4 linked regions of the Bombyx mori genome follow. The protein of the gene in region 4 purifies or fractionates together with the protein of the main gene of each other region. This does not show direct contact. Links are inferred from orthologs where the notes say so. Each region holds a gene or a part of one and is shown on either strand. Other genes may lie near its edges.

Region 1 (5,765 bases), on a different chromosome or scaffold from region 4:
GATGATCTTCATAGTCAGCTTAGTACAATATTTGTAACCAGTGATGTCACAAACTGAGCACCGCCTACAACTTCTTGAGGCTCTTGCACGAGTGCCTGCGCTACTCTTGGTGTGATGTCGTCATCAAAGAAGGCTATGTGTTGACCCGTGGCGCGCCCGATCTTCAATGATAAATACTGATCAGCATATGTTGCCACCATCCACTTCAGGACATAAGGTCTAAATATTGATTCATGACAGGTTGACTGTCCCTCCAATCTGAAGACATGATTTATTTCAGAGAAAAATAAAACAAAACAGCTGCAGCACACCCCGCTGACTACCTTGCTAGGGCTATTTACAAATTCATTCGATTATTGTATTGTAATTTGAACTAATGGATTTTTATTTTCAGATATGGACCTACTGAGCAATTGAAATTCGTAGGAATCGAGAGAGAGATGGAGTTCTTATGAGAACAGTCCAAATAGCAGTCGCTCCAAGACTGCAGGACACTGAGAAAGTCAGTGTGAACTCTACTCACAGTTTCATTAGAATGTTATCTATGTGAAATTTGACATCTGAAGATAAGTGAACATGACAAGTGACATGTGGCATCTCATAATGTAACATTAATATTAAAACTCACGGTTTCTTGTACACCTGCCTGTGAGAGGTCACAGGTTTGAATTCTTCGCATGTCTTTTGTTTTTTTTGTAAATGTAAAGTAAGGTATGTCTTCTCAGTCGGCACACATTATAGATGAATTGGGAAGAGCATTAGACACGTCATGTTTAAATTAAATACCTGGCTAATTAATAATGAAATAATTTTATTGCATGAGATGTGGTAAAACCCGTTTCTCTCTTCTTCTTTAATAAATATGTAATAAAACCAAATTGTTTTTTATTTATTAAACCAAATACATATTTATAAATATATAATTAAATAATTTTTTATTTAATTTTGGTATACTATATTAAATGCTAATGAATGTAATATGGAATAGTATGGATGCAAAATCTAAAGTAAATGAAATAAATAAAAAATAAAATAGCTTGTGCGAATTTACAGCCCCACTTTGAGCTCACTGTATACAACATTCTTGGCGATTTTTAGCACCCTAAGCTGCTGTCACCATTCTCGTGGAATGCGACGAAGGGCTTAACGTACAACTTGACAGACAGTCTACAAAGTTTCTCAGCAGATCTTCCCAGTGGGTCACGATTGGGATCGGGTGGTAGATTCAGCAAAGCATTAATCTTGCTAAGGCTAGTGTTAGCAAGTTCTGTAAACTCACCCACCAAACCGGTGAAGCTGGAATAGCCTCTCGAGGCATCCAGCAATTAGGCGGACAAAAGGGAAGCAGAATACGGCTGGTGGCTGTGTAGCTCATTTTTCATTATGATAGTTTGTGAATTTATAATTGAATTTTATACAGAGGCTTTTAACATATATATCATTTTTGTATTTTTCATTTTTTGCCGTAATTATACTGAAACAGATATTAGTGGTCTTAAATAAGAATTTATATATGTATACCTATATAACCTTGTTGCAATTTAATTTTGCATTTAATGTTGCATTACTAAAATTTATAAGGGAATTGTGCCTTACAGTGGTGAAAGTAGAAGTGTAGGATACAAGCCTTATAATTATATTATGTTGAATAATGAAGGTTTTTTATATTAAATACCAATAAACCAGAACAAAAATGTATTTTACAAATAAATATTTCATATTTATTAAAATGTAAAAATTCACTATAAACATCACAAAAACATCTTAACATTGAATTGAAATAATCTCACTGACTACCAGATGAACATGTATTTCTCCACAGTAATAAACAGTATTATTTGAATGAACAAATCTAAAAAAATTCAAGACTTTTTTACTACAGAAATGCTAATGACGTTTCCTTATATTCAACTTGAGGGCAAAATTAATATTTGAGTCGACTATTATCAAAGGCGGCAATCTGACTTTTGGACAATGATTGGTAAATCAGAAAAACGAATTATTGACTTTGTATTCCATCGGCAGTCACAAAACTCTTCGGAACGACATCTTAGATAAATAACAGGTTAACTATTAACCTTTATTTAATGCAGGTTTTGAACCGTATTCTTTGAAGGAGACGATTATATTCAAATAAATCTGTATTGACATATCAATAAAATTTTGTTGTCCAAATGCACAGATTGCCGCCTTTGATAATAGACGACTCATGTGTTTCCCAAGTCAGAAATACTAGTTTTATCCTAATTTATTATTAATCACAGGAGCCATCTTTCCACCCATCTCTCCACCTCTCGTGAATTTTGCTACAGTCAAATAATGGTTTTCCAAGTTTTACATTCACAGTATTGTGTCTCTCACAGAGCCATTTTGCTAGTTCATCCCTTGATTTTGTCTTTGGTGGGTTCTTTTGTATGCTGAAAATTAGGAAAAATTATTTACTGGTAAAAAAGATCAAGTTACCAAGGTAGATAGCCAGGTTTTTTTAAAGTTAATTTTATAACAATTACATCAATTTCAACAAATAATTGTGGATTAGCTAAATCAGATTATTAAAAAAAAAGCCAAGTCTATTAGTTAAAACTTGTTTTTAAAATTTGTACATTAAAGATGTCTACCCAAAATGAGCACCTAGGTAAGTTAGCCAACTAGAAATACTATAAATAACTTATACAATACAATATGCCAAGCTATTGTTGATTGATTCTGAAACTGACATAAAAATGTTCATAACTTTTTATTGAACTAGAGAAAAAAGTCTTTGTAATCCATAATTTTTTATTTTGAGTTTGTTTTATATTGAAAACCACATTATAATGGAACATTATTTCTCTTTTAAAATAATTCATCATTAGTTACATTTTGATAAGAACTTAAATAAATGTAATATGTAACAAATCCTGTCATATCTTGCCTCGTAAAAATTAAGAATACCAAATTATCTAGCAATAACAATTTTAAAGCAGCTGTATTTAAATTTATGTAAATGAAAAGTAACAGATCAAATTACTGTTGGGTTTTTTTTTAAATATTTCCTTATAATCTTGAAAGAAGTTGAACTGAAAGATATTTTTTTTATTATTATTAGTACAGAAATAAAATGCTTACTCATCCAGAAAGTCCAAAGAACATGGTTCACATGGATAGAATTGGGCAAAAATATTAAAGAATCGTGACATATTTTCCGATTGTAATTTAGTTGGCTTGTCAGGAAAATATGAAGCCATCGAGTGGAGGAAACCCCATGTAGATTTACCTAATTCTTCTTTATCTAGAGGGCATTCCTTTGATTGAGGAGGAGGCTGTAATGTTAGGATTGAGAAATTTGAAGTTGAACAGAAAATTTCAATGCTTATGAATATTAAAAAAATCGCAACCACTATGTGTATATTTGCAATTAAGCAATATTTTTGAATTATAATTGATTAATGTTATCATAGCTGTTGCAACTTAACCTCACCGGTTTGGTCGGCGCGGTTTTTGAACCTTTGTTTTGTAGTTTTGCCCAAGTTTTGAAATCCGAACATGCTCTACAAGGTTTATCTTCTTCTTCCTCGTGGTGTGGAGGCATTTTTGTACTTATTTATTGCAGAAATACTCATGAAAATACAAATTATGTTGTGTAATAACGTAACTTGCCGAGAAGTATTTTCCTGGCATAAAAATAGTGTAATATCTTTTAACATATGACAGAATAATTTGTCAAATTAAATATCCATGTACCACATTTTATTTTATCAGTTTTCAAAAAGAATCTGAATGTTTTCTTTTTCGGGCCAAGTTAAAATGTCAAAATTGTCAAATGTTTATAAATTTGCAGAATTTGACACGTGACATTGACGTTGACCTATGACTTTTTTTTTATAAATTGTTTACGGCCGCTCGATAGTAAAATTTTCAGCCTAAGGTGGTGGTTTAATAATCTTCAATACCTACTAAATTATCGAATATAATTTTTCGTATGTCGTATCACTCTTGTCAGAGCGACCGTGGTCTTCAAACAGCATCATTACTGTGGGCAGATGCTATGCGCCTCACGAGCAATCGCCTTTCTTAGGTTTGTGGTGAGCTTGATACATTCATGTAAATAGCCGCCATTTATTAACTTGACGGACAATCTCATAGGCAACCCTCCCCGTGGTCTGGTACCTTCTACTTTGCCCTGAACGAAAAGGCACCCTCTAGAGTCATTTCCACACCGGGAGACATGTCCGAAAAATGATACTATGCGCCTATGTACGAGCGCTTAAAGGCGCTGATTAATGCAGAGTTCTTGAAGAGTGAAGATATTGTTTCGAAGCTCGGCCCATAAAATACCAAGCATTCGTCTCCAGCACCACATCTCCAAAGCATCGATCTTTTTTCAACCTGACGCAAGCGTTTTTTTTAATTGCTTATATGGGTGGACGGGCTCACAGCCCACCTGGTGTTTAGTGGTTACTGGAGCCCATAGACATATAAAACGTAAATGCGCCTCCCACTTTGAGATATAAGTTCTAAGGTCTCAAGTATAGTTACAACGGCTGCCCCAACCTTCAAACCGAAACGCATTACTGCTTCACGGCAGAAATAGGCAGAGTGGTAGTACCTACCCGCGCGCACTCACAAGAGGTCCTACCGTATAAAACCGTGCGTATAAAAATTAGGGGAATAACAAGAGTTCGTACGAGCCGGGACCTTGGTGATGTTTCTGTTCTTATATATACTTCTCAAAATTGAGCGCAAAAGCCAAGAGTTTTGATTAAAGCTTAAGCGCAGTAAAACCAAAATGATGATTGCAGACCGAGCCAAAACCAAACTTTCAAGATATCACTCAGATTACAAACAACTGCGAGGTCGTTCAATCCTTCATATACCTTGGAGGCTTGATATCGAACAATGATGGTTGTGTAAGTGAAGTAAAGCGACGTATGCTGAAGAAAATATTGTTAAATTTAAGCGTTAAATTAGGATAAATAAGAACACATTATGTACAGTAACTACTTATATTTACTTTATTATAATTGGGTATATGGTACATGGTATTTGAAACAAATTTAACGAACGGGAACTTAAGCGCAAGTTACTTTTGTTGCTTAGTTCGAGTTCTCACAGGCTGCTACGATTTCTGAAAAAAAGACGTTAATTAACAAGACCGCACGAGGTCGTCAGTGAGGTGGACCGACCAAATTAAAAATACATTGGGAGGTTCCCTAATTGAGTCCTGTAAGGAGCGGGTAGGGAGCAGGGAGAGACGGCGGAACATCGTGAGACGCCTCAAGTCTGTCCCCTCCAACACTACATGACGACTAAGAGCACTCCCTCATAAGTGACACGATTGGGAAGAAGAAGAAGAATTAATTTATTAATATAAAAATTCTTTTTTACTGTTAGATGTGCAGATGGGCTACAGGCCTTGGATTTCAGTGTTTACAAGCGACACAACAAGGTAAACGCTGCTGGTCACTTTTAAGTGAGATTTGATTTAATAAGTACCACGACTGCCCTACCCTCCAAACCAGGGGCCATGTATTGTTTTGTAACAGAAATAGGCAGGATAGCGATATCAACTCATACTGGTAATTCATCAGTACTCAGCATAAGGATTCGACTATACCGAAGTAATAGTTTGATTTGTGGACTTAAATCCCGACATTAGAACCATAGCTTTTGATACTTTTTACAGAAATCGCTTTGCACCGAATCAGTTGTATGGTGTGGTTTTTCTTTTTTTTTAGTATGTACGTGCTTTAGTATGTACTTATGTACGTGCTACCTAAGTACAA
Region 2 (5,719 bases), on a different chromosome or scaffold from region 4:
CAATTAGATAATAAAGGTAAATAAATGGGGACCACTTTCCACTTATTACCATACAAAGGTGTGCGTGCGACTCATTAAAAGTAAAATATCCTTATTCAAATACTCAATCACAAATATTGAACAGGCATTTTACTATACACATTTAAATCAGAATTAAAAGTATAGTAATATTTCATACTGTTATATTTAATGAACCAGGTGAACACTATGAGTACCTACTTAGCCCCAATATGACCTCATATCAATGCCACAAAATTTGAAAACACAAAGTTTATGTTGGAATTATATACAACACATTTGTACCGTATACTTAAAATTACTGCCACACAAGCGAATTATATTTAATTACCTATAGATATCGGTGATCCATATAAAAATTGATGCACCGATGCTAATAAGATTATAATTGAAAATATCAAGTTAAATGTAGCTTTAGTGTGAAAACATACTTTTAGACAATTTTTTCTCCTCTGAAGCCATTTTAGCTCGATAATCACCGAAATGTGTCCTCATTAATTGTCTCTTCCTTATAATCGGCTGATTATTGTTTTTCAGTACAGTTAAGACTTTCCATGTTTCTTGCACTGAAATCAAAGTCAAATGGATATTGCAAATTTAGTAGGAGGGTAGGTACCGTGCAAATCGAGAATTTTAAATTAAGAACTTTTTTATGAAGGCACGTATTTTGATATTTTGATGTAGCGTATTTTTTAAAACTCGAACATCGCTAAATTGGATAATTTTTTTTTTAATTTGTCTTATTTTAAAACTCACATTGTTTTTCGTTTCCTTTCTTTTCATTTAAAGTTCGCTCTAACTGTTGGATACACCAACATAACTCGAGCTGAAACTGTCGTAACGATTCCTCGGGGTCTACACCTTCGGACTCATGTTTATCAATTTTACAAGGTTTCTGTAAAGATGTCGATTTGCCTTTATTGTGCAATCTTGTTGGTTTAGGCATTTTATTTATGATATTTTATATCGCCACGTTTTGAAACTTTGTTAATTCCAGAGAAGTTTTGATGAAGTGTAATCTGTGTATTATTATAATAACGGATGTATGTAACGTTCTCTTTGTAGTAACGAAACCAAGTCAACAGAGGACACTAACTTGGAAAAAACTGAAAACAAATTTATAGCATAGATAATTAAGTAGCATTTAGATCGGGTGCACATTGTCATTCCTGCCGGCACCAGTTTATTGTCTATGGTTGATACAGACTGTCCCGGTGACTATTTTATTTATTTATTATTGTACAATATATGCAATGCGATAGATTTTTATTTTAGACTAGCTGACCCGGCAGACCTCGTAGTGCTTCAATCGTTAAATAAAAGACCTAAACTTTTGTATAAAATAAACTTAAAACAAACAGCAGGAGTCCGTCCGACGGGGGACACATCAAAGGAAAAACAAATTGTTATTTTTATTTAATTCCAAGCATTTTCATATTTATCTACCTTTCAAACCTTCTCTGGACTTCCACAAATAACTCAAGACCAAAATTAGCCAAATCAGTCAAGCCGTTCTCGAGTTTTAGCGAGACTAACGAACAGCAATTCATTTATATATATATAAGATACGATAAGATAAGATAAGATAGATAGAAGATAGATTAAAGGTATTAAAAACTAAACTTCGCATTATGCCAATAGTTTGATGAATCGTTCGAATTAATTCTCTTCTGTACGTGTTATCAAATAAACCGGCCCAACCGATACGAATGAGTATTTCCGTCCGGGCTTAACATAGACAAATATTTTGAAGAAAAAAAATGTTTGCCAGGGAAGACCGCTGATGATTCTAATAATTCCTCAAATTTCTCATTAATATTAAGTTTAAACGAATCTTGTGTCTAATTTATATTTATGTACTCTATTATGGCAGATTAATCTCTACATTGGAAATCTGTAAGCTTAGCTCAAAAAATTTTATACCAAAAAGTTCACAAAGTTTAATTTATAATTAATAATTTTATTATTTAATTAATTTAATAGTTAATTTATGTATAATATAATTAATATAGCAGATTTTTCATAAAAACCCGTTCCTATGTAATGTTCCTCCTTTTAGTCGATACGCGCCTGCAATATTTCTTTACAATCATACGATCACATAGCGACATCCGGCTGTGACATAACGTTTTAAAAATTGGTACTAAAACGTAACCTTAAAGTTGTAAAAGCAATTCCAAAATTTCATAGTATGCCGCTTGGAAAATTTGGAAAAATTACTCTTTCGTGGTAAATAACTAAATAAGATATACCCAAGTTTATCACCAGCTTACTTTTGATTTACCTTTCGTTGGTGAGCGCAGAATTAAATTCGATTTTACTCATTTCATCATTCGTCTATTTAGCCAAGTTCTATTTTGTGTAAATATAATTCTACAAGATAAGTCAATTACCTATCACAGCGTATTATTATGCTCGCCTTTTATTACTTATTAATAAGAAAACATGAAAATTAAGTTATATACTCCACAACCTTGACTCTCATGTGTCTTCAGCCACAAGAAATCCATCAAAAATAACGTCATAACTTTGGAATAAACGTTAAAAGCGAAGATCTTCGAGCAAGCGGGTTTCATTTCTAGGGTAGACCCACGATCTTTTGTAAATATGCATACTTATCTTGGAAATGTTGTTAATGCGATTCAGTTATTTTGGAAATTACTTATAGTCTATGTTACCTTATACTACTACGCAAATACAAGACGAATCTGTATTCTAAATGAATTTGAACTCACGTTTATGCATTTAGATTAAAACTAGTGGATTTTATATGCATATTTTGTGGATTCTAACTTAATTAAAACTTGATAAGTCTAGTTTCTGAGATAAGTAGCTGTTATCGGCTGTTTCGCCTGTGGCGTTATAGAAATGTGTCAATTTAGTTTCCTGTGGGTATGAGATGTTTTTTTGGAATAAAAATCTCCTGACCTAAAACTATGTCAAAAAAATCATGTTAATTTATTGCTTCATTTTAAAGTGAATTAAAGACAGACAAGCACACTTTTTAATTTATACCATTAGTATCAACGTGTATGATGTAGTATGATTTTATTAATTAAGCTTAGTTATTTTATGTTACACGTTTCACAAATGTTCCAGACCCATTAGCAGAGAGAGGATGTTTTAACCCAGGATCGGTGTTAATTTCAGGTTAGCAATAACAACAGCAAGTTTATCATTATTCGTGGTGGCGAAGAACTACATTAATACTCAGCGTGTTGAGAATATGAAAGCAAGAGAACGCATGCGAAGATCTAATCAAGGAGAATACCCTGACTTGTATCGGAAATTGTGAACTTGAATTCATTATAATGTGAGTATCTCTCTAGTAACTCTAGAAAATACTGGTGAGTAACACTAAATTAACTGGTGATAGGACCTCATGTGAGTCCTCATGGTTAGGTACCACCACCCTGCATATTTCTACCGGGAGCAGTAATGAGTTTCGGTTTGAAGATTGGGGCAGTCGTCCTAACTATAGTGAGAGCTTTGAACCCATATCTCAAGGTGGGTGGCGGCATTTACGTTGTAAATGTCTGGACTCCAGATACAACTTAACACCAAGTGGGCTGTGATCTCGTCCGACTAACTAAGAAAAAAATTTGTATACAGTGTATGAATGTAACTAAAAAATATTTTAATCTACTGTAGTTTCCAGATATACCATTGAACATTACTTAGTTAAAACGTAAAGATGGCAGTACCGCAGCTAGACCCTGCAAAGCTGCAATTGGTGCAGGAACTGGAGATTGAGATGATGTCCGACATGTACAACCGCTTGGTGAGCGCATGTCACCGGAAGTGCATACCAATTAAATATCATGAACCTGAATTAGGTAAGCCAGGCAAAAAAAAATATGGCGAACATTATAATTATAGGGACCTTCAAAATTGTATTCATTGTGACACACAAATGGTTTATTAAACTGTGGTCGTCGTGGCCTAAAGGATAAGACGTCCGGTGAATTCGTATGTAGCGATGCATCGGTGTTAGAATCCCACCAGTAGTTACCAATTTTTCAATCAAATACATACTTAACAAATGTTCGCGATTGACTTCCATGATGAACGAATAATATCAAATAAAAAGTGTAATAGAAATCAAACCCGCAAAATTATAATTTGCATAATTACTGGTGGTAGGACGTCTTGTGAGCCCACTCAGATAGGTACCATCACCCCACCTATTTCTGCCGTGAAGCAGTAATGCGTTTCGGTTTGAAGGGCGGGGCAGCTGTACTGTTAAAAGTGACACCTTACAACTCATGTCTCAAGGTGTGTGGCGGCATTTACGTTCTAGATGTCTATGGGCTCCGGTAACCACTTAACACCCGGTGGGCCGTCTATCTAAGCAATAAAAAAGAAAAGAAAGATAATTATGACCTTCAATGTCCATTTGTTTCTTTTTAAGCCATCACACTTATGAAGTTTATGACCTATAGTTTATAATTATTATTATAAGCTAAGCTTTAGGGTTATACACTGTTACAGGACATCTACAAATACAAAAATATATAGATGATATAAAGATAGGTGATATTTAGAAAACTGATGTAGCATATGCTTTTAAAATAGATACAAGTATTTAAGAGATTTAATTGCCTCGCTTATATAGGATGAGTTAATTTTGAACATGATCTTCTCTTCTTACAGGAAAAGGCGAATCTGTATGTTTAGATCGCTGTGTAGCCAAATACTTGGACGTACATGAACGCATAGGTAAGAAACTTTCCAATATGTCACAAGGAGAAACCGAAGATCTCACAAAGGTCAACATACCAGACAAAAAATAGTACGAAGCTACTACTCACGACAAATCAATCAGTTGCTAGATTTTTCACAGTGACCAGTACAAGACATCTGCAGATTTGAGATATTTTGTTGTGAAAAATTTGCAGTAATATATAGGTGAAGTAGTCTTTCTATATATAATATTAATTCTGCCATTATGTCAGTACTTCACTATGAGAAAACAATCTACTATCACTAGTAATCTCGAGAGATTATGCTACCTTGGTCATCTACCCTAACAAGGGCAGTGCTTCACTTGTGACGTTTGGGAAATAATGTTACTCAATTTTGTCTGTGTAGTTCAAAATTCAAATTTTTATAACCGGTTCTGTAACTGAAACATTGGCTGAAACGCAATTGGTGCAATTATTTTGCCTACTTCTATGAAAACTATTTTTCTAAAACTAGTTTATTTTCATAATTAGTTCAAAGCTCTGTCCAGTGTTGTTACTTCATACGGCTATTCAAAAAAGTTATGTTTATTTATCTCTACACTACCCTCTATGGTACTCTCACAGCTCGACAATATTTTAAAGATACTGTAATACACTGTACTGTAATGCATAAAAAGTAGGATTATGTAAATTTTAAGACAGAAACTAGCGGTTACCGAATGAAACGACCATAGAGTTTAATGAACAAACAAATTTTATTAGCATTCTTTTTTAATCATAATTTAATACTGTTCATGTTTTTCAAGATCAATCAGCCATAAACTGTAAATTTTTTTTTTTAAATTTTTTTATGATTGAAAGATTACTGGTGGCCCGGAGTCCTTTCCAGTTTCACCAGGACACGTGGGACATGTTTTTTTATAAATATGCTGGAATGTCTTACGTGAACACGAAACTTAATTAAATTTATGCTTTTAAATTTCATCGTGATAAAAGCTGAATTGATTTGTCGTAAG
Region 3 (5,587 bases), on a different chromosome or scaffold from region 4:
CGCGCAGAATCATAAGAGGTCCTACCACCAGTATTACGTTTAGATTACGTTTAGTTGGGTTAAAACTTTTAGAGATGTACATAATATGCGTAATTCTACAAATTGTAATTTAATTATTAACGGTTGGTAATTGAAAAATATTGATTGCTCGTGCATGCATTATATATTATATATTATATATAATGCATATATTATACTCCGACAATTGAAATCAGACGAGGGTCGGTATGTACGCTCAGCGCCAATGAAATCGTGATATATTAACTAAAGTTTATGACCAACCTAGGTTGAAGTTGATGTTTTCTGCCGTGTCGTGCCAGCAGAACGCATTGGACCCGTTTGATTTGACCCTCTATCAGTACGTCCGAGGGTCTCCCAAACGGTGTGACCACCTCCTTTTCGATTTGATTCTCGAAAAGCGTCGGATCATCGAAGCCCGAACCTCCGATAATTCCGATCTGTTTGAGAAAACGAAAAAGAAAAACACTTAAGCTGCAAATCCTGCAATGCGCTTATAGGTATCAAAATATGGTGTTAACCCTTTGCACTCGAGAGGTGAGTATCGTTCACCGTATGATTTAATTAGAAACGACAAAAATAATGTTAAGGACAGATATAAAAAACGCTAACAAGATGTCAGTCATCAAATAAAAACAAACTATCCGGTCATCGTTCTCGTCGATCCGACATCTGTCAAGGGTTCGGCAAGTAAATTAACAGACAAAGCCCACTGAGTTTCCCGCCGGATCTTCTCAGTGAGCCGCGTTTCCGATCCGGTGGTAGATTCTGCGAAGCACTGCTCTTGCTAGGGTCAGTGTTAGCATCACTCCGGTTTGAGCCCCGTGAGCTCACCTTCTAGTTATGGTTACGCTGAAATAGTATTTTAAGGCTATCAGCTTAAGTAGGAAATAAAAATAGGATGCATGCAAAATCTAGAAGACACTTACAAATAATAACGAAAACAACGTAAATATAACGAAAACATTCCAAGACCTCTTCAACCAATTCGATACATTCGAATTCAAATGTGTTCAGATAATTACGACAAAATTTTCATATTAAATAAAACAACATAATATTTATAATAATTTATTTTTAAACAATACACAAACGAATATTCTATTTGATTTTTAACAAGTATTTCATATAATACTATTTTCCATCCAAACCTTGTTGAAATTTAATCTCTTTCGTAGTTTCATGCGCCTTTTGCAAGCTCTGTGCAATTTCAAAGAATCGTTTTGATTCATCCTGGTTTTTCTCAACTCCGTCACCTTTTTTGTACATTAAACTGACATTGGCACAAGCAAACATATTACCTAATTCACAAGCTCTTTTCGCAAAACGGAACGCCTCTTTTTTGTCTGGTTTTATTAGATAATCTATGTTTTTATTTTTTTCAGGATTATGCGGGTTGAAATCCTGAACGTTTTTAGGTACACCAGTCAGATACATTCCGGAGAGGTAGTGGCACGCCATATCATCATTTTGATCGCAGCTCTTCTTGAGGCAGTTGTATCCTGAAATTGAATGATTCTATTAATGAACAGTGTTGTATTATTGTTGACAAAAATACCATATTTTTTTAAATATATTTTTGGAAAATTTTTTCTCTAACTATTTTCCCAGGATAAAAACACAAATTAAAATAACAGTATAGAAAAATAAATTGGCGTGGTGGGCAGTTTTTATAACACAAGCCAGCAGTTTAGAGCTTCAGTGCTATTGCTGTCACTATGTCCATTGACACAACTATTGGATCAATGACTCTTGAATTAACATGTCATATGGGAGAAACCTGTACTAATTTATCTTTTTTTGCCTTCATGAGGTTCTCGTTGTGGGGAATGTTGATATTAACCAATACTACTCGACGCACAGACCAATCTATAATCCTAATATCAGACTTATTACCAACAATAGGCCTGTTCATAATAATAAATTGGCCCTAGTAGAGTAGTATGGCCATATACAAAAACTTGTCAAGGTTGGTATTAGTGATAAGGTACATACAGCAGAATCAACACAACCAACACAATATTTCTATTTCAACATAATATGTCTAATTCTCTCATGGATGGTGACATGCCACGAACCTAACATGAAAATAAGACTCTGAAGTAACAGCTTCTATTTCCACTGAAGTAGCAGCTATATACATTAGAAGCATGATACGTACATAATTTTAATTTGCGTAATCACTGATGGTAGAACCTCTTGGGAGTCCACACGGGTAGGTACCACCACTCCGCCTATTTCCGCCGTGAAGTAGCAATGCGTTTCGGTTCGAAGGGTGGGGTAGCCGTTGTAACTATACCACTTAACCACTTAACACCAGGTGGGCTGTGAGCTCGTCCATTCATATAAGCAATAAAAAAAATAAAAATAAAACCTGAGTTAACGTTAAGACATTTATTCCTAAATTAAAATTGTTATCTGTGTCTATGAAAACTTTATGGTAATATCATGAATAATTAATATTGATTTACCTTTAGGGACATCCCTTTGTATGTTAACGCCCGGTCCAGTAGCCGTTAGCAGCATCCCGGCATGTAGACAAGCACCGGGGTCATTTAATTCGCAACCTTTTTCGAAATAAATTAGAGCTTCGGCCGGGTCACCCTTTTCCCTTCCCCTTCCTATTAATGTATAGTTACCTATTTTCAGGCATGACTTTCCGAATTTATATTCTAAACAATTACTTTTGTACACTTTAGCGGCCTTTTCGAAGTCTTTTTTGATAGCTTCTAGATAATCGGCTAGCAGATGACAAACTTCCGGTTTTTGCTCCTTATAACAACCGAAGCGATACTCTATTCCAATGTTTTCTATATAATCTTTGACTTCATCTTCTTTTTTTAAGTCATAAGCCATTTTGATTTATTATTTAAACGATTTCACGAGACCTTAACTTAAAAGGTTAGGGTTAGGTAACACATGAAATGTCAAATAGATAAGCTTTATCAGTTTATAAACAAAGCAGTACACCTACTCTTTTCATAAAATAAATGAAATAAGATCAACATTATTTTGTAGTAATTACAAATATAACTAAAGAAGAATTTGGATTGAAAAGGTTTATATGACCCAGACTTATAACATGTATAGGAATTGAAATTAGCTTTTTAAAATATAATAATTTAGTTTTTTACTTACCTTTATTTTTCTTACATCGCCCATATCGACGGAACTATTCAACACTATACACACCGATACAAGAACTTTCCTATTTCAGTTAAATAAGTAACCGCTTAAATTATGTGTTTACTTTTATAATTTATCTAATTAAGCACCGGAACTTCAGATTAATTAAAGTCAAACTCTTTGCCTCGAAGTGTGAGAATCGGGAACTGACCGGAAATATATATTTTTTACTAATATTTATTGGATTAGATTCTAGTCCTTTAGCAAAAAAAAATTGTCTGTATATTATGCTAAATGAAAAGTAAGACAGTGCGGGTGTAGTTGATATAATATGGGTTGAAATTGAATAAAGTAAAACGAAACTATTTCTAAGCTATATAGTAGGATTTTGCTGAAACTTGAACGGATTTTTCGTAAGAACCTGTTATAATTTCAAATGCTAAAACTCGTTCTGTTCAATCAATACATTATATTTGGACAAACGTTTTTCGAACAGCCATCCATAATAGTGAATACAACAAATTGGAATATTTCTTTTCGAGCAAATTACAGATTTTCATAACGGTCGATACACTGCTACTACTCAGTAGTTCAGTACACTATTTCACAAGCCCGCTGTACTTACTGTCTTGCTGGTCAGAAAGATTACAACACTAGCTTACTGTGGGTTCTTACTGCTGAGTATTATGTATATTAGTAACGGTGGCTTATTAACTGATTAATATCTGTGATAGTGCACAAATGGGGGAAAATGAAACAAAGCCACTGGACGTAACTACTCGAGTTCCTCCAAAAAGTCAACTGAAAAAATCTCAGTAAATGACTACCATTTTACTGAGATTATATTTCATTCCATATCATTTCATTTCATTTCATCCCAGTTGATTAATGTCTCAAATTAATCCTCTTCATTTCATTTCACTCCATATTATCATTTTTCATAAAAATAAGAATATAAATTAAAATAAGACATGACCTAAAGGTCTTAGTTACCAGGTCATAAAATCACTTAAAAAATAAAAAATAAATCAGCTGGTAAATGACAAATCAAAATGATTTATGAAATTTCAATAAATTGTTATTGTCTGAATTGAAACCTAATATCGGTATTCTGTATTTCTTTGTTTGTTGTTGTGTTGAATATAAGATTAAATTGTTCATCCTAAAAGAAAATGTCTGAACAAGATCTATTCACGACACGCATGAGAAAAGCGACTCGGAAAATACATTCTGTCAGCGATGCCTTGGTCAATGCGAAATTTGCGATATGTGAGCAAATAATACTATTAAACAATTCATTGCGCAGATTATAATCAACAACTAAAAAGTACTAGGAAAAATTTGGAAATTACCTTTCATTCTCATTGGAGGTTTTTGAGAATAAATCTCTTTTTTGCGAAAAAGTTATTTCTGATATTGAATTTAAAATATTTTATTACAGCGTTGAGAGACCATACAGTATGGGGTGGAGGCCTGTTTGTCTTCTACCATATTTTTGCATATCTTGAAGATGCAAAAGAGAGATTAAATATGCCAGAATTTAATAAGCTGTTTGTGCATGAAATTCTTTACAGGTACGATTTAGACACTTTATATCGAGTTTTTGGTACATTTTAAGTTACCATCGTAGTTTTATTGTGTATAATAATGAGGTTATTTATTAAAGATTAAAGAAATGTTTGATTAAGACTTGATTTAAAACAACATGTGATGAATTACAGATTTATAGTCTGTGGTTAAAAAACAGAAATCTCACCAAAACTAAAAAATTTACAATGAAACTTTTAAATATCTAAATAGTACAATGTTGTATAATAGATTGATATTTCACATTACACATACAATTTAATAATTGCATTGTTTAACTAAACATCAACATGTATTTGGCATGTTGACCCCCAAAAGAAAAAGAAGGCAGAGTGACAGTTAATTGTGTTGGTCCACTCACTAAAAATTAAGGTTACGCGGGTTTAGTATAGAAGGTAGTTTTACTGTTCTCTTTGCATGGCTCATGTCCATGCGTGAAGGTGATTACTTACAATCATGTGGGTTGACTGCTGCTGCTTACAAATCCAACAAAAAGTTGGGATGTCTGTTGTAGCTGTTATATGTTACTCTGTTTTTGAATAAAATAATCACTAATCATCACGACATGAGCTGCTTAACAAATACCATATATGTATAATATATAAAATGAATACTTTTTCAGAAAGAAGGCATTTGAGCAAGATCTGCAACACTACCTTGGTGACAACTGGAGGTCAATACCTAAATCCTTGGCTCTAGAGAACTATCTACAACATTTACAAGACCTGGAAAGAGACAATCCCAAGCTCTTAATGGCCTATGTCTATCATTTGTATTTAGGACTCCTGAGCGGTGGACAGATTTTAGCCAAGAAGAGGAGGGTATTTGGTGAAAGTAAGTGTAGAGTTAATGCATG
Region 4 (5,859 bases):
AATAAAAAAAAAACTTTGTATATAGTTTTGTGAGTCTACGGTATCTTCCGTCTCTCACCGTCAAATCAGCTCCGTGCTATTACATTATTGTACAGTGATCGAACAGTAATCATTTCGTAACAATCAGAACTGAACCAATATTCCGTTGGTTCGTTCGCGCACGCACACTTCGCGCACGCCGGTATGGCGACACGTGTGTCATGTGCAGAGTAAACTGGGAACAAGGTAAAATATTAACATATTTCGTTTGTGTGTTGCAACTAGCTCTAGCGACCGCACACTAGCCTTCACCATACAGTAGGTTCGAGTGGGCAGGAACAGGGACAACGGGGACCGGTTACAGTGTGTGTGTGAGAGTGCGTGTAGGTCAGTGAGGTTCCTCAGTGGCGTTGTTGTCAGTAGTAGTGGCAGGGGCAGGGGCAGTGGCAGTGGCAGGGGCGGTGGCAGTATCGGAGCCGGCGAGCGCCTCTGCGAGTTCGTCGTCGTCGTCGCGACCGTACAGGTCGGGGTACTCCGCCATACACTGTTGCATCACGCTGAACTTCTCGTAACAATCGCTACCCTTTGGGTCCGCCTCACTGTACAGAAACAACACATGTAGTGCAACCTGTAGTCTCTGCACATGCTCAGACAAACGACAGTTCACGTTTCTTGTAAAGTTTATGTAATAGTTGCGAGAGCCACTGGATTCAGAACACTTCAGCAACAGGGCCTGAGTGCAAGTGATACTAGCGAGCTCGGGGTTCCAGTTGCTGGACTGAGCAACCCTCATTATTACAGTTCGTATGTTCTACAGTAAACAAAAGATGTCATCATTTGGAAAATACAGACATGCATTCTTTCAAAGGATGTATGGTAGTTGTCTTTTGAATTGTTGGAAAAGATAGTGAGCTGAAATATATTGATCAAAGAATTGAAATACGAACCTGTAATGAAAGCAGGAAAATGCCTCACGGAACTGTATCCCACAAGGACCAGTGGCCATACCCCCAAGACATGGACATCCCCAATTGATGGAACCATCTGCCAGAATGAGGCCAGGTGTCGGTTCAGGGTCCGGGAGTGATACTCTACTTGGTGTAGACAACTCTTCGCGTGATGCTACAATCACTATATCTTTGTTGCCTGACCCAGCAGGTAGAATTGATGGAGACGACATGTTGTATCTTAAAAAAAAAATCAATACACAGGTTATTATGATACTTATTACAGCATATTGCATCCACTTTAAATACATTTGTACTGCCTGATATACAATTTGCTACTTAATTGTGCCACAAAAGGAGCATTCTAGTTTAAAGGGTGGAACAGCCATTATACCCTAAAATTGAGATTTACACCTCATCCCTAAAGATGTGTTCAAACCAGGTTGACTGTGAGTTTATTTGCCTTTCTATGAAATGACACAGGCTTTATACAAATGTTCATGACTGGCTTCCAGGGTGAAGGAATAACATCGTGTAATAAAAATCAAACCTGCAACATTATAATTTGCGTAATTACTGGTGATAGGACCGCTTGTGAGTCTGCGCCGGTAGGTACCACCACCCTGCCTATTTCTGCCGTGAAGCAGTAATGCGTTTCGGCTTGAAGGGTAGGGCAGCCGTTGTAACTATACTTGAGACCTTAGAACTTATATCTCAAGATGGGTGGCGCATTTACGTTGTAGATGTCTATGGGCTCCAGTAACCACTTAACGCCAGGTGGGCTGTGAGCTCGTCCACCCATCTAAGCAATAAAAAAAACTGCCAGAGACTTTCTATTGTTTTTCTGATGTCATTTGATTATTGCTTGTTTAATTTCTTTTCCTATTTTCCAAGTTCCATAGTTTCTTTTCTTTGAAACTTTGAAAGCTTTGAAGTTTCGCTGTGCTTCTATTATTATTCAATGTTTATCTATACCCATTATTACCTCTCTGTTTGGCAGTTTTATGCTGTCAGTTTTTTTCTTGAAAAAACACTATCGTTGTTAAGCAGCCAGGTAACAAGGATGCACATTTGGCACAAGTGATAATTTGAGTGTAGTTCAAAGTTTATTCATTTCTTTGGGTGTTGAACAATACAAGGCACTCAATGAGCATGTAATATATAAAAATATTTTCATATCTTGAATATGAAGAATGAATTTAAGGGCATAAAGTATGCTTTTTAAATATCATCCTAAATTCTAGCAAATAAATAATTTGTTAAATCCCTACAATATGAAATCAAGATTGTGACTTATGTAAGATTATGTATTTAACTGTGACACTCACTGCCTATACAAGTGCCTGTAGTGAAGGAGACACCTTATGCACTCGTAACTGGGTAGTTACTGTAAGAGCAGCCCAGACTTTCCTGAACTCCGTGCTATTTACTCGCAATACAGCTGTCTTGTCTTGCACTGATAGCACATCCACAGGTATCGAGCCCCCCACTTCACCAAACAATGTCTTGCACGCTTCTTCTACCAAACGCCGTAGTGATAATTCACTCTGTGCACTGTTACACCTACAAGTAACTAAAATTATTTCTAGTTGACTAGTCTAAATAACTAACAGATATATTTTATTTTATAGTGTTGCTAACTTATACAATTTACCCCTCATATCAAAATTTGATATACAAAAATTCAAAAAACTACTATTGCAACAAATTAACATTTGTTCAATACAGTCTCGTGTTAAGCCACCTTGGTCAATGGCAAACCTATAAATACAGCAAATATCATTAAAATTGATGTAGTGTTGAGCAGTGCAGTAGATGTACTTTAATCGGCATTGTACTTAAAGTAATACTGGGGAGACAGAACAGAAAGATTAACATTAATTAAGACAGATTAACTCAAATTTTGGTATACTTATTAAGGACTGATGACAATTCAATATTAAAAAAATATTGAAAAAAATCAAATTTAACTAAAAAATGAACAATAAATAATAGTTTAAAAAAACTAACAAAATATGCTTTTATAGAAAATCCAACTAAAAAATAGAAAATAAATTTAAATAAATTTGAATTTGAAATAGTGTAAAAAAATTGTGGGGTGCATGGTATCAGTAGTTATAAATATTTTATGAACATATATGAGTAGAAGGGTTATTTTGATAATATCCTGAAAAGCAACCCACGCTTTTTTTTTTTACAATAATATCATTTTTTCTTACACTATTTTAAATTAAAATTTATTAAAATTTATTTTCTATTTTTTTGTTGGATTTTCTTTAAAAGCGTATTTTGTTAGGTTTTTTAAACTATAATTTTTTTATTCAAGATTCTGATTCTTTAGTTGTGTACTAACTGATGGATAAATCGTGATTGCCACTTACTCAACTTGGAGGTAAAAGAATTGAGGCAACATTCGCTTTACACTAAATTCAGAGACGCCCTGAATTTTTTTATTGAAATAAAACTGATCACAATGTTATGTATCCCTATTTCATTTCTAAAATGTTGATTTATATCTGAACGTTGAAGTGACAGTTGACATTATTTATTTTTATAGGTTATTAGCCTTTTTTTTAATAAGTTCGACAAAGAATTTACTCACATTGTCTATGATAAGGACTAAAAAGAACTGTTGTTGTGCTAACATTTTTGCTGGTGATAGGGCGTCTTGTGAATCCACACAGATAGGTACTTAGGTACCACTAGGTAGTATCTAGGTACATTACTGCCGTTACCGTTGTATTGGAGTGTTGTAGGTGAAATAAAATAGAACTGTTCAAGTCGACAATTCATGTAATTCTGTCACAATTTAGTGTGTGCAGTTACAAATATAAGGTTAGGCGAGTTGCACACTACACCGTACTAATAATACGTTTGGGCTTAAAGGATGGGGCAGCCGTTCTGTAAAACTGGGACTTAGAAATCAGATATCGAGGTTTTTTTTTATTACCCTTATAGGCAGACGAGCATACGGCCCACCTGATGGTAAGTGGTTACCGTCGCCCATGGACTTTAGCAATGCCAGGAGCAGAGCCAACTCGCTGTCTACCGTTAAATACTCTCCACAAGCCTTGTGTGAAGAAGGATGTGTCATAGCGCTCGGGAAACACCGTGGAGCGGACCTCATTCCAAAGCCGGATGGTACGTGGCAAAAAAGATCTCTGGAAGTGCACTGTGGATGAACGCAGTGGCTCCAGGTAGTATGGATGAACTCTACTCCGGTGGCGGGCGGTCCGATGGTAAAAACGAGATGATGGTATTATCTCAAACAATTCCTCAGATGTTAGAGGAACAGAGTTCGTGGGAGGCCATGGCCAGGTTTTCCTACCTGGTCATAGCGTTCCATGAGGCGGAGGAGCGCGAAAGGGTCCCTCTACGGCTCCTCAGCGTATAAGCGGGGAGGGAAACGCGGGCGCGAGGCCCCTGCTCGGCCCCGTAGGGGCTGTCGAGTGCCGGGTGCGGAGGTGTCCGGCGGTACTCAACGGTTAGTCCGGTGGTGAGGCAGTGCAAGGTGGCTCTTGTGCACTGCCCACGATGTGTCTCCTGAGATCCGACGTCCTTCAGGATTTTCCCGGGGTTGAAATCCCGTCCTATCATCAGGATAGGGGCTGTCGGATACCGGCGAAGGCGGACTTTCGCCGCGCACTATGCTTCTTCTAGCTGGTGTGGTGTAGCTCGATGGGATTTAGTCGGTAGTCATAGCTTTTTTCAAGGCTTAGTCTCCTGAGAGGAATTGGAGGAGGAGGAGGACTTCAGCTTTCCTCTTTTAACTCTTCTTATTTGGAGACGCCGGAGTGCGACATAACCCGGTCTGTTACCCCCTTCAACCGGGAATTCGCAAACGGATTACCCAGCGATAAAAATATGGCTTAGTAACCGAAGGAAATATTCGTATTTATAATTTTAGCTTTGTTGTTGTGATTAAAACCAAATGTGTTTGTAAAACAGAAGTAGCTGTCATTTTCGGATTGGATCATAAACCAGTGGATTGGATAGTTAATTTCCTCCATTTCATTGCCATATTAAAATTCGAAGACCTGTTTCCACCTGAAGCCCAGGAGCTTAGATTTCTTCTACATCTTTTACAAGATACGTGAAGAACCCACTTTTTGTTTTGACCGATATTTTAAAATAACAACAATACTTTTTTGAGTTATGTAATTCCATTAAAGGCTGTCCCGTTTTAGACTGAGTTCACTATAAATTTAACAAAAACGACCCCAGTTTTACTTTACACAACCTTTTTGGCATACAGCTAGCGCCATCTATGAGTCATCGTTGTCAACACATGCAACATGTTATGAAACAATGCGGTAATGTTGAATATTGGAACCGTTAGAGGGCAATATGATTTTTGAACCCAGAATAACAGTTCTAAAAGCAATGCTATTTATCGTTTAAAAATAGTTAACTAATAGGCAGCTTTAATTACAAATTAAATGAATCTGTGAAATTGGTTCATAAAAGGCGTCTTGTTAGTCCCGTCTCTGAGGTTCTGTAGGTTGGGTATGTTACGGCAAGTGAGTGGCCTAGCTACAACCACATGTTCTGTGGGACATTTATTTTATTTATTTAAACTTTAAAATGCACTTTATGTTGCTCACTGAGTTTCTCGCCGGATCTTCACAGTGGTAGATTCTGTGAAGCACTGCTCTTGCTAGGGCCAGTCTTAGCACTCCGGGTTTGAGCCCCGTGAGCTCACCCACACGTCAAGGCGAAGCTGAAATAGCCTCTCAAGGCTATCAGCATCGGCAGAAAAAAAGCATTTGACGCAAATGACTCATTTGCGTCAAATGAATAAAATGAAAAAAATATGAAAAATGGGTGCCTCATGATTTGATTGGTCTGCAGAAAGAAACGCGTGTTGAAATTTGTGTTGCCTTGTTGAATCGATACAGAAATGAGGGAATATTAGATCGAATTGTGACATGTG

What was found.
Region 1: the proteins of mitochondrial intermembrane space import and assembly protein 40 (region 4) and FAD-linked sulfhydryl oxidase ALR purify together in Homo sapiens (co-immunoprecipitation; 3 studies listed by BioGRID and IntAct, with this or other methods). This does not show direct contact. The link is inferred for Bombyx mori from reciprocal best matches to the Homo sapiens genes CHCHD4 and GFER.
Region 2: the proteins of mitochondrial intermembrane space import and assembly protein 40 (region 4) and Tim10 purify together in Homo sapiens (co-immunoprecipitation; 4 studies listed by BioGRID and IntAct, with this or other methods). This does not show direct contact. The link is inferred for Bombyx mori from reciprocal best matches to the Homo sapiens genes CHCHD4 and TIMM10.
Region 3: the proteins of mitochondrial intermembrane space import and assembly protein 40 (region 4) and cytochrome c oxidase assembly factor 7 homolog purify together in Homo sapiens (co-immunoprecipitation; 3 studies listed by BioGRID and IntAct, with this or other methods). This does not show direct contact. The link is inferred for Bombyx mori from reciprocal best matches to the Homo sapiens genes CHCHD4 and COA7.

What each region holds. Positions count from the first base shown.
Region 1 is NC_085117.1:20,076,324-20,082,088, reverse strand, and holds FAD-linked sulfhydryl oxidase ALR, read right to left. Parts: upstream 3,828-5,765; 5' UTR 3,572-3,827; coding exon 3,461-3,571; intron 3,303-3,460; coding exon 3,109-3,302; intron 2,418-3,108; coding exon 2,255-2,417; 3' UTR 1,681-2,254; downstream 1-1,680. Other genes in the region: histone-lysine N-methyltransferase E(z), read left to right, coding at 395-455; cytosolic Fe-S cluster assembly factor nubp1, read right to left, coding at 5,076-5,107.
Region 2 is NC_085130.1:5,899,027-5,904,745, reverse strand, and holds Tim10 (mitochondrial intermembrane space translocase subunit Tim10), read left to right. Parts: upstream 1-2,181; 5' UTR 2,182-2,311; intron 2,312-3,168; 5' UTR 3,169-3,331; intron 3,332-3,669; 5' UTR 3,670-3,712; coding exon 3,713-3,854; intron 3,855-4,671; coding exon 4,672-4,811; 3' UTR 4,812-4,870; downstream 4,871-5,719.
Region 3 is NC_085134.1:3,289,775-3,295,361, forward strand, and holds cytochrome c oxidase assembly factor 7 homolog, read right to left. Parts: upstream 3,157-5,587; 5' UTR 2,875-3,156; coding exon 2,490-2,874; intron 1,521-2,489; coding exon 1,153-1,520; 3' UTR 1,079-1,152; downstream 1-1,078. Other genes in the region: Mtap (5'-methylthioadenosine phosphorylase), read right to left, coding at 283-458, 3,157-3,180. UniProt on the Homo sapiens protein: Required for assembly of mitochondrial respiratory chain complex I and complex IV.
Region 4 is NC_085131.1:14,549,925-14,555,783, reverse strand, and holds the start of mitochondrial intermembrane space import and assembly protein 40, read right to left. Parts: upstream 3,726-5,859; 5' UTR 3,529-3,725; exon of another isoform or gene 3,280-3,528; intron 2,688-3,279; exon of another isoform or gene 2,640-2,687; intron 2,500-2,639; exon of another isoform or gene 2,490-2,499; 5' UTR 2,255-2,489; intron 1,167-2,254; 5' UTR 1,160-1,166; coding exon 927-1,159; intron 579-926; coding exon 368-578; 3' UTR 1-367.